Linked DNA regions of Arabidopsis thaliana. The protein of the gene in region 2 interacts with the protein of the main gene of each other region in a pairwise test. Each region holds a gene or a part of one and is shown on either strand. Other genes may lie near its edges.

The links.
Region 1: the proteins of ROPGEF4 (region 2) and AT4G34220 interact in a protein complementation assay, tested with the Arabidopsis thaliana proteins (one large-scale study listed by BioGRID).
Region 3: the proteins of ROPGEF4 (region 2) and PGRL1B interact in a protein complementation assay, tested with the Arabidopsis thaliana proteins (one large-scale study listed by BioGRID).

What each region holds. Positions count from the first base shown.
Region 1 is NC_003075.7:16,380,608-16,386,154, forward strand, and holds AT4G34220 (Leucine-rich repeat protein kinase family protein), read right to left. Parts: upstream 3,862-5,547; 5' UTR 3,448-3,861; coding exon 1,767-3,447; intron 1,639-1,766; coding exon 1,046-1,638; 3' UTR 866-1,045; downstream 1-865. Other genes in the region: AT4G34215 (carbohydrate esterase, putative (DUF303)), read right to left, coding at 1-585.
Region 2 is NC_003071.7:18,881,290-18,886,295, reverse strand, and holds ROPGEF4 (RHO guanyl-nucleotide exchange factor 4), read right to left. Parts: upstream 2,920-5,006; 5' UTR 2,757-2,919; coding exon 2,480-2,756; intron 2,415-2,479; coding exon 2,298-2,414; intron 2,211-2,297; coding exon 2,068-2,210; intron 1,982-2,067; coding exon 1,907-1,981; intron 1,828-1,906; coding exon 1,522-1,827; intron 1,437-1,521; coding exon 1,086-1,436; intron 979-1,085; coding exon 856-978; 3' UTR 567-855; downstream 1-566. Other genes in the region: TRM13 (Phosphatidylinositol N-acetyglucosaminlytransferase subunit P-like protein), read left to right, coding at 1-227; BAM7 (beta-amylase 7), read left to right, coding at 4,472-4,885. UniProt on the Arabidopsis thaliana protein: Guanine-nucleotide exchange factor (GEF) that acts as an activator of Rop (Rho of plants) GTPases by promoting the exchange of GDP for GTP. In association with ROPGEF1, acts as a specific regulator of ARAC10/ROP11 function in ABA-mediated stomatal closure.
Region 3 is NC_003075.7:7,174,206-7,179,827, forward strand, and holds PGRL1B (PGR5-like B), read right to left. Parts: upstream 3,684-5,622; 5' UTR 3,505-3,683; coding exon 3,339-3,504; intron 2,969-3,338; coding exon of another isoform or gene 2,923-2,968; intron 2,841-2,922; coding exon 2,728-2,840; intron 2,641-2,727; coding exon 2,544-2,640; intron 2,456-2,543; coding exon 2,355-2,455; intron 2,251-2,354; coding exon 2,194-2,250; intron 2,068-2,193; coding exon 1,991-2,067; intron 1,890-1,990; coding exon 1,838-1,889; intron 1,732-1,837; coding exon 1,621-1,731; intron 1,388-1,620; coding exon 1,290-1,387; intron 1,205-1,289; coding exon 1,135-1,204; 3' UTR 1,121-1,134; intron 1,033-1,120; 3' UTR 681-1,032; downstream 1-680. Other genes in the region: AT4G11950 (transmembrane protein, putative (DUF1191)), read right to left, coding at 1-54. UniProt on the Arabidopsis thaliana protein: Ferredoxin-plastoquinone reductase involved in cyclic electron flow (CEF) around photosystem I. The homodimer is probably not involved in CEF.

The DNA.
Region 1 (5,547 bases), on a different chromosome or scaffold from region 2:
AATGGGAAGAGAAGGAAGGTTGAGATCATGACGGAGGTTCTTAATCAAACGATCCATATTGTTCCCGTAGCTCTCGGCGTCATGGATGTCCAACACGTCACTCTCTCCTTGATACCACAACACCGCCTTGATCTCTCCGCCGCATTTCCTACTCTCCTCCGTTCTCTTGACCATCCTCTCGTACAAGTGGCTTCCACGCTCCCACTCTTTTATCGCCGTTCCACCGGAAGCGCACGGCACCAACCCGATCACAGCCGAATCTGTTTCCAGGCGATTCTTCACCGCGTTAGCGAACGCCATTCCTGGACCTACTCCACACACTTTACCTGTGTCAATGTCAACGTGTAGTGGCTCGTGTGCTTCTTCCCACCGGAGATCTGCGGACAGGCGGAGGATCGATGAGTTTGGTGCGCATTCCGGTGGAAGGATTTTATCCCACACCCAGCGATTGTTGTGGTGGTCTTTGAAGACGCCGCCGCGTCCTGCCATATTGCTTTGTCCAGAGAGTATGAAGATCTGATTTGGTGGAATTGGAGATTGGATCTCCGGTTTATCTTCACCGGGAGTGATAGATCCTCCTTCCATAATTTGGTATCTCTTTGGTAGAGTGATGATATCAGAATACACTATCGTGTGATCAGACCATAGAAATAAGCTATCGAGATGTCTTGTCTGAATAGAAAGTAAAGTTTGGTGGGGTGAGCATCAGAGTTGATCGGAGAAGATGATGTTGAGGCGTGGACACTAGAATCTTGGTCCGGTTTGGGTCGGTCTGTTTAAAAGTTTGGTTAGGAAGTTAGACCGAGTTAATTTTAAGTGATTCCCGTTGTGTTGGTTTAATTGGCTTCATCGGTTAAGATTCTAATTTTTATATAGCTTTTTGGTTGTGATATAACATAACAAAACAGTGAAACACATTCTAAACTCTAAAGTAAGAGTTAGTATTATGCGAGGGTAAAGTAAGCATTAAGCAACACATCTAAAACATACATAACACATAACTTTCTATATTGCCAAAACGACTTAGGCTATACGAATTAAGAAATCAAACTAAAACACAAATTTTCTCCAACACTTGCACCAATTCTTTCATGGATGGTCGCTTCTGAGGCAAGGAAGAGACACATTCAATCCCTAACCTAAAGCACGCCATTGCAGCATCCTCATGGCGAGCGACATCACTCCTAATTGCACCGTCGATTAACCTCAAGAACCGGCCATTCTCTTCCGCTGCAGAGTCGGATAAGTTTGAGAACTGATCTATATCATGATCTACCGAGAACACTTTGCTTGTGAGAAGTTCTAAAAGTATGACGCCAAAGGAGTAAACGTCCCATTTAGGGTTTGGTTTCAGGCTTGTGGACCATTCCGGTGGCTGGTACGGTGAGCTCGAAGTTGGTCCAGTGGTGTGAGATTCACGCGCTGGTGTCATGAGGCGGTCTAGCCCTAAATCGGTGATGATGGGCTCATTCTCAGCGTTCAAGAGAATGTTATTGGGCTTGATGTTACCGTGCACTTGTTTCTTCTCATTGATGTAAGATAGTCCTCTAGCCATTCCTCTTGCTATCTTGAGCCGTGCTTCAAAAGTAAGAGGGTTTTGTAATGACGACGAAGAAGATGAGCTTGAGCTTGCCTTAGCTGTTTGTGAAGGACAAAAAAACAGTGATGCGTATTTTAGAGTGCTAATGTGTACCAAATGACTTGCGTATTTTAGATATGATACTGTGTTTTTTTTTTCGTGCGCTTACAGAAACAGAGGAACTTACTGGCGGTGAAGAAACAGAGGAGGCTGCCATTGGGAACATAATCGGAAATGAGAAGTTTCTCGTCGTCTCCCCAGCAGAACCCACGAATTCTGACGAGATTTGGGTGACGAAGCTTAGCGATGGCACGAACCTCCCTCTCGAATTCCTTGGGTTTCGCAGCCGCACAGCTCTCCGTCTCGATCCGCCTCACCGCGAATGCCGTGCCGTTCTCCAGCACCGCCTTATACACGATCCCGGTTCCGGTGGTTCCCAATATGTAAGCAGATGCCTTTAGCAGAGTGTCTAGATCTAGCCGAGTCTCGCCGTCGACTGTAACCAATTGAGTTTGGGAGCTCTGCTTCAGTTGCCCACCATCTGTTCGAGTGAATGCCTGAACGGTTTGTTGATTCTCTACGTCGCTCTCTGATGTCGATGTCTCGTCGTACCTTCCTCCGGTCAAGATAATGCATGAACCGCATGTCGTTTTGGCCTCTGGTGATTCTGGGACTGTGACCTCAGTGGTGCTTGGTTTCGATTTCTTGGCTTCGTTTTTCTCCAGACAGAACTTGAAGAAGCTAAATTTGCTAGATTCTGGGTACCTTCTGCGTTTCCTGACTTGGTATACGTAGAGCACGAGTAGACCAATGAAAGCTAGACCAACTATATCTGCAACTGTGATTGCGGCAATGGTGCTTGGCTTTAGCTTGCTTTTTCCTGTCTGATTTGGTTTTTCTGTCAAAGGGTTTATTGGAGCTGTACTTCTTGGTTTAACTGCTATTGCTGGTGAAGTAGTTTCAGAGATATTTGGAGGGTTTGAAAGAGTGGAAGGAATTGAACAAAGGATCTTCAATGGCTTCCCACAAAGCTCTTGGTTACCGGAAAAAGACTCAGCCTTTTGGTTAAGTAAAGAAAGGGAACTTGGGATTGGGCCTGTGAGGTTGTTAAAGGAGAGATCGACTGTGGCATTTGCTGGAAACTTCTCTGCAAAATTTGGAGAAATCTCGCCGAGGACTTTGTTGTGTGATAAGTTCAAGTAATGCAGGCTTTTTCCTCCCAAATCCTTGGGAAGAGAGCCGTTGAGAAGATTTGAAGAAAGATCAAGAATCTGTGCTGCTTCGAAACCACTTGGAATATCACCTGAAAAGGTGTTTTTTGACAAGGAAACGACCGTTAGATTCTTCAGAAGTGAGATGTTGAGCGGAATTTCGCCAGTAAATGCGTTAGCTGAGAGATTCAAGAGCTGGAGATTAGTCACACTGTTGACACTCTTGGGCAAATCACCAGAGAGATTGTTGCTTCCAAGGGAGATACTCTGAAGCTCAGTGGCGTTGAACACCGAGTCCGGGAGTGACCCGTTGAAGAAATTGCTAGACAGATCCAAGATCCTTAGATATGGAATCGAGAACAAGTCCGGAGTGATGGAACCCAAAAGGTGTTTGTTGGGAAGTACCAAGCTTGTGACTCTGAACATGTCTGGTGTGTTAGGCTTCCCAAGCTCTGTACATGTGACACCTGTCCACAAGCATGGTGTTGCATCATCATAGTTCCAATTGCGTAGAACAGAGAGAGGGTCAGTGAGGATGGAGTATTTGAAAGTAAGCAGAAGAACACCATCAGTGTTAAGAGCTTGGAGTTGTGTGGGGACAAAAAGAAAGTGGAAGAGGACTAATGAGAACAGGAGGTTGCTTCTGTTGGAAGTCATGGTCTTTCAGTTCTTGGTTTCTCCCTCTCTAACTATTACATTTGGCTTTGCATTTTCATGGCAGAAAGAGAGAGAGATAGAGGTTGAACCACTCAAGAGATAAGTTGTTCTGGTCACCAAATCTATGAGATAGTGGAGCAATCTCTGAGATGGTGAAGGAGAGAGAGAGAGAGAGAATCTTAAAGAGCCGGAGTTGATAAAATAAGCTTTTGACTAGACTTGACATGGGACAAGGTGTAGAATCAATGATTCTTGATCATATTTATTCATTAGTGTAAAACTGTAAATGAGCAGCAGCAGCCATATTTTCGCATTTAAAATCTACTTCATTCACTAAAGTAAAAGCAATTCATGGGGGACAGAATAATTATTACCGCTTGCTTTTGGGTTATTTTTGGTTTACATGAAGAAAAGCTAATAAAATAAAGTTAAAAGTCTAAACTATTGCATTTTTTTTCTGGAACATTTCGGTCCATAGAAAGTTTAAAAGGATAATCACCGACTATTATTACGACTAAGTACAGTATGTAATTGAGTAATTATATCTCAATGTAGTACTTTCTCATCTTAGAACTTATAAGAGAAAACCCGTTATAGGTTTGCCAAAACAGAGGGTCTCGTATGAAATGAACCATACATTAATCAAAGACAAAACAAGGGACACCACAAAACTGACATGTCAGTTATCCTCATCTTTTTTTTTATTTTTTTAATAATCAAAATTTTGGAAAAATGACCTTGCAGAGTTTGATTTTTGTGTAAATTGTTCACACACTACACAAGTTGGCAAACTGAGTTAGGCCTAAACTGAATCTTTCGAAAATCGAAAAGTTAAAAATATGGTCATGAAATTATTCCTTAGTCTAAAGACTCTAAACCAAGAAAACTATTTAGCCATATTAAATGAAGTTATAGCTGAAAATAAAATTAAAAATATCTAAGAATTGAAAGAAGCCAAAGCAGTAGCACAATCAAGGAGAAAAAAAAAGGTTTGGAGAACAAACATGAAAGCGACGAGAGAATGGGCTATGACCGCATCGCTTTCAGTGTAGCCTGTGGACGAATATATAACAGAAACAAGGCTCGAAGTGGTCCATCTTATTTGGTTTTGAGTGAGTCACATAAGAATGAGAATAATTGATGCGAAATAAACGAGTGTTGTCCGAGAGAGCAACAGTCACACAAAACAATTTTGTAAATTATAGTTTGTTGATTAAGATAATAATTAGGCATAAACATAAATTATCTTAATACATATTTGCTTGCTTCATTCGCAACAAGTAGGTAGTTAGGACAATTTCTTGTCGTGTATAAGTAGCATAATAATAATATTCATCAAAGGCTTTAGTTGAGTGTTAGTTATTTAAGATACGTAATTTGTGTAAACGCGGAGAAAGTTTAAATGGTGATCATTAAGAATCTCACATGTGCATTATAAAAGGGGCCTATGGATATGATGGGGATTAAACCTAGTCAATTTCTAAAACACATAAGATAAGATTTTTTGGACGTAAGTAAAAAATACAATCTATAAAGTATATTCATCTGGCTGGTCCTAGACGTAACGATCACGGGTTGATGTCGTTTATACAATCTATAAAGTATATTCATTCTCTTTCTTGTTTTTTTTTAGGTCTAATGTTTTTTTTTTTCGTTTTCACTTCATCCTTACCCCAGTGTAAACGTCTCATCTATAAACCAAAAGCTGTAAAGTTATATAGTTATATACATCCATTCAATGCCTTGGTTTTTTTGGTCGGAGGCTGATAGCTAATAATGTGCCTATGGCCGATCTGATACCCCATAAAAGATAATGTCATCTTTTATTGTAGACAATGGATCTTAAATATTTGACTATAGCTATAAAATATGATCTTAAGCGGATTTAATCTGTCGACATATTTCATGAATATGCCATGATGACAACGTTAGTGAATCCCAAGAACTCTGCACATATTATATACGTCAAGAATGATGGTCAGATTGTACTTAAAGAATGATCTGAGAAAAAATATTTGTTTTGACACAGATCCAACATATTACTCTATATCTTAGTTATGGACTCCTCATAGCTGGTAGATGTATAGTGTTTTATTCTTT
Region 2 (5,006 bases):
AAGAAGAAGTTTACTGGCATCTCTTACCTTTGCCATCTCCTCACACACTAGACCAGATAGTGCGGAAAGACCTGGCTAGGACTGGAAACTGGATGGATCTCCGCTTTGATATTGGTTGCATCGTTTCTGAAACAGGTGAAATAATCCTTGATGAACTACTAGAAGAGATAATCAGCAATTGCAGAGACTTGGTCCAACCTGAAAGAATCAACAAGCTGGTTCCTTAAATCCCACTGCTCCAGATCACTACCAGAAAGTAAACTTTTGTTCGAGAAAGACACTCATGGTCATCAAGAGGCTCCTCTGTTTACTCTGTACAGGTTCACGTCCACTTCAATGGACAAGCTCTAGTTTTCAGTTTTTGTGCAGATACACACAACCACAGCTTTTAATACCCCAACGACTGCAAAAGAAACTCTTTGTCTTGTTTCTTTCAGTCCTTATTATGTTTTCTTTTCCATTTGGCTTCTGTAAAGTTTTGAGTTCTGTTAGTTGTATGTTGTTGTTATATGAGGATTAATAAAACAAGGCTTGAACTTAAACAAGAAGACCATCTCTATTGCTTCATTGTGTTTCAGTCAAGAAACAATCCAAGACAAAAAAAAATTGACAGATTAAGCTCTTTGGCAAATTAGGGCCACTAGTGATGATTAAAGAACATCTGAAATTAAAGATCTTCTATCAACTGTGTGTGGTTGAAATTCTTGTTCACCCTCATTTGGTATTATTGGTTCAGAATTCCTTTTAAAGATTCAGAAAATCATAAGAAAAAAACATACACATTTGTTTGGTATTCTCATTACATCCCAAAGAACTTAATCTGTTCTCAAAAGAAAAAACTCAGTATGAAAAACCCTAATCATCTCTGTTTCTCACTGTTCTGTCGACGTAAAGAACATCATCAATCCACGACACAACATTATAAGCCAAACCTTCTAAAACCCTTGAATAGCTCTCCAATACCGCCTTTCCCACATCCTAACCAAAAAAATAAAACAACACACAAGAATATTCAGCATATAATTTCGATATTTTCCATCGATATCTTAATTAAAACAATATGCAAAATGGCTGGGGCTACTCACTCGGTTAAACTGAATCTTGCAGATGTCAAGTGAGGTCTGAGAAAGTTCAGGGTATCTCTGTTTCAGACAGAAGAGTAAGCTCCTGGCTCGAGCCGCAAGTATGTGGTTCTTGTCATTGCCACGATCTGCATCGCCACTGATATCTTTCATCATGTCCCATGAGGACTTAGAGTGAGTCAATCCTCCAGTCTTACGCCTCCACGTAACTAGTGAAGCCTCAACTTTGTCGGCGAGCTCAAGCGCCTCATGCTCAGATGTGATCTTCAAGATGTCGAGAAGCTGGTCGGGATAAAACTTCTCGGCTGTGCACAGTTGCTTGTAAATCACGTCTCCTACACTTGCTTTCCCACTCTGTACATAAAATCAAACAACACCGAGTTGATTTCAAAACTTTCACATTACATTTATATGGAAGTCGCAAGTTATCCTTTTATACCTTTGGAAGAGTGGTGAGGTAAGAATCAGGAATATCCATGTCATTAAGAGTGGAATCGTTAATGGCCAATGCTGCTTTATGTATCTGACTGGCACAATCGCGTTTGTGACGCAAATGCTTTCGTTCTTCTTCAGATAAACCTTCAGCAGGAACACATGGCACCGGAAGCCACCATTTCTCGTCTTTCCGTTGAACCACCACTTTCCTAAACGTTCCTGAATCTCTACCACCACCACCCGAGTTCATCGATGAGCTTCCTCTTTCAACATACCAGAACTCGTTTTCCGTAAAACTATCCAATATTTCCTACAAAAGTCAAACAAGTCGTGTTGGAAATCTTTTGAATCTTGATTATCTATCAGTCTAATTCGAGTCTTATACTTACCATTAGCATGTTATCGAGTTTTCTCAAAGCAGGAAGACTCATGAGAATATCAGATCTTAGCTTTGTTTCTGTTATCTGAAATTAAAACATCAACGCACCGGTTTTTTAGCGTTTTAAATTGTGTGTGTCAAAATTAAGATAGTGTTGAAATAGTATTTTACCTCAACGTTAGTACCAAGAGATCTTGGAATAACTTCGACAATGTAATCACAAATAGACATGAAACAATTCATCTCTCGTTTCCATAAGTCTTTCTTCTCTGTACTCAATGGTTGTAACCTTAAACTCTGTCCAAACACAGTCGCTGCAATAACACAACAAACACACGCTACACTATAAATACTCTGTTTTGAAAACAGAGCATATTTGAAAAGAGAAGAAGAAGACAAACCATAGAGATTGGTTATGGAGTTTGACACAGTAACAGCAGTACAAACTCCTTTCCCACTTCCTGACATGTCTTCACCAAGCAACAGCTTCGCAAATCTTTCCCTCATCATCTCTAGCTCTGCACTAGAAACCCCGATTTAACGAAATGACAAAAGAAGAAAGTTACAATCTTAAACACTTTACCTGCATCTTCTGCAGAATCAATGTCGCTGTCTTCTTCGTCTCCATCTCCGTGGACGTCGTTGACGACATCATCTTTTGGTTCCTCGGCGTCTTCGGAGACATCTTCTTCATGGCCACTCAAGACAACAGCGTTAGTGTTTGACGGCCGGTTATAAAAGCTCTGAACGTCGAACCGGTGAGATAATCCGGAGATATCTGAGTATGTTCTCCGGTACGGCGAAGAAACAGAGCTCGTCGGAGTTCCCTCATTTTGGTCGGAATTCGAAGAACTCTCCATCACGATTGTGTATAATGATCAATGTTTTTGGTGAGTTTCAAGTTCTTCTCTTTCGTTGTTGGCTCCTCTGGCTCTGATGAACGTGACAAAGATTAATACATGGAGTCTCTTCCTCTTCAGCTTGAGTTATTATTTAATGACTAAAAATTAAGTTATGATTGTCTCCGACGAATGATGGCCGTCCGATCTGATTGTGGGGGAGAGACGTGCCTTCCACATTTGGCTAATCAAATCTCATAATGAACGTTAGTTGCTATATATGCGTTAGGTGTATAATTAATAAGTAAAGGTTGTCCCATTCATTTCTAATTAAATTCTAAATGACATTTACACCATGTTATTGCAATTTTCAGAGAGTAATGTTACTATTGGAATTATTATTTTCGGTTCACATGTTTTTAGTTACAAATTATTAATGTAGACATAACAATTAGAATCACATCGTATAAATGTCATTTACTAATTTTTTTTTGTAGACATTAAATATTTTTAGATCATTTTAATAATAATAATCTCAAATTTGTAATTGTCATCAAAATTAAATCGGATTTACAACATCTTTTAATGACATTTGAGTTTGTTTTGTAACGAATGTTTTTGGTCAACTTTTAGTTGACATTCAACGTAAACCCTCGAGACAAGGAAGAAGGTTCAAGCCAATGAAGCCATGGTCAATGTCTAAGACTTTACTTTGGTTTTAAAACCGGGATGAAGTCCACGTCTACAAGAGTAAAACGGCACGCAGTTTGTGAACACTGTTTTCAAACGACCATAATTAGACATCACATCATGCGAACTGTGTCTGGTCAGGCAAGTCACGTGACTATCTCCCTGCCTTGCCTTGTGCGCCGCAGAGTGCATCGTAATCTCGTGATGGTGGTGGTGGCACGTGCTTCCCTTCACACGTTTAATGAGCCCGTCTCTACTCTTCAATTGGTTTACGCACACACGCATAGTTCGTGCCAAGCCTTAGCTTCACACACTCCTCTTTCTCTCAGACACGCTCGAGCGCTACACACGCGCGAAAGCTCGTCTTCCAATTCACGCTGCACGCTCCTTCACGCGCTTCCTCCATCTCACGGCCAGATCCGCCTCTTTTCACCCGCCGGAGATCCACCGTCTTCTTCTCCTCTCTCTTGGTTTCGCTGACGGCGACAGAGGGGGAAACCTTTGATCGGAAGCTCCATTTATAGGGTTTTTTAGTATTGCTCGATGATTCGCCCAGAGGGCCGAGAATTCTGACCAATTTCGAGAGGAGGCTTGTGATTGTTGAAAGAATTGTGCTTAGTGTCTCTTACTCACAGAGGTCAATGATATATGGTTAGGTACTTAATCTCAATTGTGCTTGAAATAGTCTCTGTTTGGTTTCGTTAGTCACAAAAGTTTTCCATTTTAATGTCTGCAAATATGTTTGTAGTTGAAAATGCTGTTTATATGTTTGATTTTTGTCTTGTAGGATCTTTGATGAAGTTAAACTGAGAGCAGCTTATGCACATTGAGAGATTGAAGATTAATTTCGTTGATACTAAAATTATCTCCAATTTTCTAACTAACTGTAAGCAAGGAAATATCATAGAATATTTGGCTGCATTGTCCAGAAGGATTACACGTGGAGTGTTAAAACCAGAGAAGTAAAGATGGAACATTTCATCATAAGAGGGCAATAACGTTCTTAAACTAACAGAGGTTTGGGTGGTTGGGTTATAAGAGAAGTAATGGCGACGGATATGCATAAACTGCTTGGAACTAGTGAAGAGGATGATGACGAAGAAATGGACATGGATGTGAAGGAAGAAGATGATGGAGACCGACGAAATAGAGACAAACACGCAGCTTCAGGCAGTAGTAGTAATGACGAGTTTATGTTTCAGCAGTCAATGCAAGATCAAGTGGGCACTCCTGGGGGAGGAGGAAGTCGCAGAAGTAGACCGCTTGAAGAGAAGGAGCGAACTAAGTTGAGAGAGCGCCATCGAAGGGCTATAACTGCAAGGATACTAGGCGGGTTACGAAGGCATGGGAATTATAACCTGAGAGTTAGAGCTGATATTAACGATGTTATCGCGGCTTTGGCAAGGGAAGCTGGATGGGTTGTTCTTCCTGATGGAACTACTTTTCCATCCAAATCTCAGGTACTTATATACCCTGTCCCTGTGTTATGTCTTTTGTTGTATGCTGCAAAATTCTTCTACTCTTAGTTGTCAGAAATCATTAGCAGTAACCTTGATCCTCGGTTGGGGAAAAACTCCTGAC
Region 3 (5,622 bases), on a different chromosome or scaffold from region 2:
GGATTTATGTACATGAAAAAGAAGGATGATGAAGATAAATGGTATAGAGCCCATGTGAAGAGGACCCAATGATTCTAAGATGAATGAAGAAGTAGTTAGGTTTTGCAGAGAGAAGTGATCAAGAAGAAAGAGAGAGAGAAGTATATTGATTGTGTTTTACTTTGTTGGCATGTGTTTTGGGGACAGACATGATCAGTATATAGTATATACTATGTATCTTTTATTAATCCTTAAGACATAATAATGAATAAGCATGACCGATGTTTTATAATGCTTAGAATACTATCCTACTTTCTTCTAGCCTCGTGACATTTTACTTTATACACACTTTGTAGTCTTGTAAATTGCTTATATTCTTTCGATCCTAAAATGATACATTTAGAAATGTCTAAACGGTGAGAAAAAAAAGGAAGGTAAATGATGATATAGAGGGCATGGGACGACGACGATGTCATCATCATCATTGCACCTTTTTCTTATTAAAAAGATAGAATTTGGCATGCTATAATATTTGTATGACTTTTTCCTTTGTAATAATCCTTAACTCTTATTACATGTTCCCCACTTTTATCTATCTATCAGCTTCTTAATAGAAATCATACTAAAATGAACTATAGAATCACAAAAGTCAAAAAGTCTTGGACTGGCCTTGACTAGCACCTATAAATGATTTAGAACATCATATTTGATTTTCACATGGATTAACGAAACTATATTATGGAACACATTCAAAATTATAACAACAAAAAAAATACAAGTATTATTTCAAAACTACACAAGGTTGTGCTTATTTCTTGAATTATTTTACTTTCCTAATGAGAGCAAAGTTTCTCAAAGAAGTAATCATATGATGTTTTTCTTTGAATGTGCCTCACACTTACTTACAAACACAACACAAGCCAATGAGAGCTACATGAAAAGATCTGAAGATTATACAAAACAGCATACAAACTTTGGTTTTTCTCCTTCTTCTTCAATTTCTCCACCTTCTTCATTTGTTAGTATTAATTTTACATACACTTCTACATAACCCTGAGAAAAAGAAAACCCTAAAATTTTGAATTTTCCATTGAATCAAGAAAGATTTCATCAGAAATCAAAGTTGAGATAAGAATTAAACCTTGGCTCTTAGATTTAAGCTTTCCCTCCTTCTGGTAATGTGATCAAACGAGAACCTGAGTCATAGACCATCTCCGTTCCACAGCTAAAAACCAGAAGAATCATAAGACTTCAAGAAACGTTGTAGACAATTTGTGTGATCGATTCGAGTCTACAGCTGAGAAGCTTACCCTGAGCATTTGACATTGTTGGTGTTACTATCATTGGGGATGGATAGTATCGTTCCAAAGAAAGATACATTCTCTGTTCCACAGTTTGGGCAAGGGCCCTGTGAAAGATATGTTCCACGAAAATTAAAAGCATTTCATAATAATCGCATAAAACTCGTAGGATTTGGCACTATACCAATCCAAATTTGTAGCGTTTAGCACAAAATAGATTATTATCTCAAGTCTAATCTCTTGTTTAAGCATTTTTGATACTGAGAAAACAAGATTTAGTTCTATAACTTTTATTTTTCCACTTCATGAACTGATCTTGGAAGATGATTAATGTTTTTACCTTCAAGATCAAGAAGTCTTTGAGGATCAGTTTGGTGAGTGATAACGCCAGATATACAATTGCAGGCACCGCAGCGAACCATGTGAAAATGAAACTGAATGGTTCCGGAAGCTGCAGATTTTTGTTTTTGTTTTTTAATCAGTTGCATGAATACTGGAACAATTACTACGAGTATATATTCTCCAAACCATAGTAGAATAGTCGAAAGAGGTTTTACCTCGAGCAGGTACGTGATTTCAAAACCAGTAATGTCATCAAGAAAGAAAAATCTGGAGAACAATTGAAGAAAACAACAATTTTAAACTAACTAACATAAGCTAAGATCATGTGATTTGAAAGTTGAGAGAGGAACAGAACCGGAGGTACTCACAGTCCGAGAGCAACAACAGTTGCTGGTACATTCAACAAGAACATTTTGAAGTAATCAATGGCAAGATCACTATAAACCTGCATAATCAAGGAGGTCCACAAGTCTATAACATCTCTAGAGTTTGTCCCAAACAATGAATCTAATGTTATGTTCTGTAATGTCCAAAGAATATATGAGCTATCCGAACAATTAAGAGTTTTTACCTTTTTACTACGAAGACTGCATCTTGGACCCTCACACACAATCTCACTGCCGTCCATCTACAGAAACCAAAGAAACAATCATAACGTTTGTCCAAATTACACATGTAACAAGATGGATGAAACTAAGAAATAGTATTTGTAAGTATAAATAGATTAAGAACCTTTAGTTTCATTTTGAGCTTATCATACTCTTCATCACTCAAGATTGGATTTCCAGAGACATAAGCCATTGAAGCTTCAAGGAATCTTTGTTCATCAGAACCTACAATACATAGATAAAATTAGATCAAGAATCAAGAACCTAGGCGAATGGATTATTGACAAAACTATAAATCATAAGTGTTCATTACTTAGCATGACAACACTGCTTCCTTCCCACATCAACTCTTCTTTAAGGTTATCAAACTCTTCATTAGACATAATCGCTTTGCCTTCGTAATAAAACGACTGCAAAAGAAAAGAAACAGAAACAATCCTCGATTATATAGAGATAAACCCATACTAATGATAAAAACACTTTATTTGATGTGTTACTTGCATCGCTTGGAGGAACTCTTGTTCCATTTCACCGATAGTTCTCTTCTCATTCTTGTTGATGCTACAATAAGGTAAAATCTTGCTATCAACTTCTTCCCCACCCACCTGACCTGAAGACAAGTCATAAAAATGATTTTAAGAAGTAAGGAAACTCTCAAGGAGCAATCTTTTAGTGGATTAGAGTATAAAAACTAAAAATCCACAGAGGAAAAAAGTTCCATATAACAACTTTTCTTAACTAGAATTAAAGCTTGAGTGATTTTATTCTATGATTGAATAAAATCAAAACTTTCTCAAAAGCCACTGTGTTCCCAAACAATGATCAGAGACAAAATCAAAGCTACAATACAACAGCTTTTCTCAACTAAATTTGAAGATTGAGTGCTTTTTTGTTTCGATCACATAACGATGAGTTAATAACTTAAGAACCTTAAGCTACACACAAATTTTAATCCTAAAAAGGCTACAAATTGGAAATCATTTATCTAATTATCTTCTATGATCATAAAAATCTCAACTTTTCACACCAATTTCGTTCCCAAAGAAAGATCAGAGGCAAAAACAAATAAAAAAATCGAAACTTTAAAGAGGCAAATAAAAATCGAGACCTGATTGATCAGTAGAAGCTTTAAGGGGCAATAAGGTAAGTCTTCGTCTGAGAGAAATCGATCGTCCATGGGTAAAGGGAGCAGGACACTGTGTCCTCGAAGAAGAACAAGTGATGGGTTTGCGAGAAATTGCAGAAAATCTAGGGATTGTTAGAGTAAAAGCCATCGTCTTTATCCCTCACGCCGATGATTGAGTGAGATCGTTGTTTTCTCTTGTCCGGGACGAAGAACAAAAAAAAAAGTTAGAAGCTTTGGATTTGTGTGGTTGAGAATTGAGATGGTGATGTTTTTTACTGTGTGAGATAGTTTCAGGTTCCTTCTGATTTTTTTGTTTTGTTTTGTTTCAACGTGTAATTGGAGGGAAAATTAGGAGGAGATAAGCGAAGTTGGATCGTCTAGCGTTCCACGTCATGATTTTGAAAAAAATAAGAATAAAATCTTGAATTTTGGTAAATTACCAAAAACAAATATTGTATTATAATATTTAGATATTATTAGTCACAAATAAAATGAATTCTTTATATAATTTTTTTTACGTAGAATTGAAATAAACGAAAAAAAAAAACTCTAACTCAAATCATAACAAAAATATGTACAATCATTTTTAGTTTATTATTTTATCATCTCAACGGACAACGGTAAAGAAAAATAAGGGTTTTGATTTGTGGGAGTCAAGATAGTAAACTCATTATAATAGATAAATTGTACATATGCATCATCATGTGGTGAATCACCTATTGGTATAAATAATTAAGAAACCATAAACATATTTCATGATATTGCACGAAAGCAAAACCAACAAACACATTGTACTCTTTTGAAAACATATTTTGTATGTAAGACTTAATTTATTTATAAGTTCTCTTAAGGAACTAATTGCGATAAAAAAATTTGAATTTTAATAATTTATAAGAGAATTTTGTTGTAATATATATATATATATATATATATATATATATATATGTTTGAAAAAATGAAAAAGAATCTTGAGTTTTAGTAATTTGCAAGAAAAAGTTGTAATATAATATTTATTAGTCAACAAAAAAATATTTATTTACAAACAATTATGAATCGGACTTGTGACTCAAACCATAGACAAAAACAATCATTGTGATGCTGGTTGTCCATAAGTTAAAACACAATGAATCTATCATGAAATAAATTGTCATTGGTGGTTTGTAAACCACTAACAAATCGATAGAAAATGTTTATAACATTGTCGGATATGCTCTCATTAGATATTATAAATGAAAATTGTGGATAGTTGTACTTCACAAAGCCACTACATCCGGGGTCATTTCATCATTTACTCAAGAAGATGTTTTTATCTTCGGAAACCAGACACTTCGAAGATAAAGACTTGAGAGAGGCGTATTATGATGTATGGTTCGCTGGTTTAATGTTGGTTTAATATTTGGTTAACTTTGATTAAGTGAGCTTAAGTTCAAATATATATAAGCTTAATGATACACAGTTCTAACTAACGCTTGTAACAATATTTTGTTGAGATAAATAAAGTTTGTTAGCTTTTTTGTTCAATCTTCTCTCTACTTTTCGATACACGGGTGTCCCATGTAAATAACCAAATAAATTTTTAAGTTTATAATGCACAAATAATTCACAAAATTTATGTCATAGAATTACTTTGAATCGAAAAAAATATATATATGAAAGTTGGTTAACTCTCTCCATATGAATGTCACATTATCATACAAGAAAATTACATGTGTTTTTATATTATTCAATAAAAATTTTAGCAAAATTAAGTTAAGAAAATCAAAAGTCCTCCACATCATTAAATCTTCCATCAATACTATTAACTTATTTCTTCAAAAAAATTGAAAAATACAAAATCATGCTAATGTATAACTCAATTATAATTACAACTATTATATCAATATATCTTATATTGTTATTCTATGTATTTATGATAGCAAAAAAAAGATTAAGATCTTATGTATATAGATAATTATATTACACATGAAAAATATATACTTGATATTTTACGTCAAAAGATGAATCAAAGCATAAAAATTGTAACTATATAAGATGAATCTAAATATTTATGTAACTACACAAACTAGCAACAAAGAACATACAACATATTTTTAACAATTTTCAAAACAACAACTCATGCATAGCATGATTATTCATCTACTAACATTAATAGTTTGTCAGAATAGACTAACATTTTTTTTTTACTTTAAATGGACTAATCAACATAAATCTCCCCAAATCTTGGATGTACTCGATGAATTTGAGATTTTATTTGGTGAACTAACCA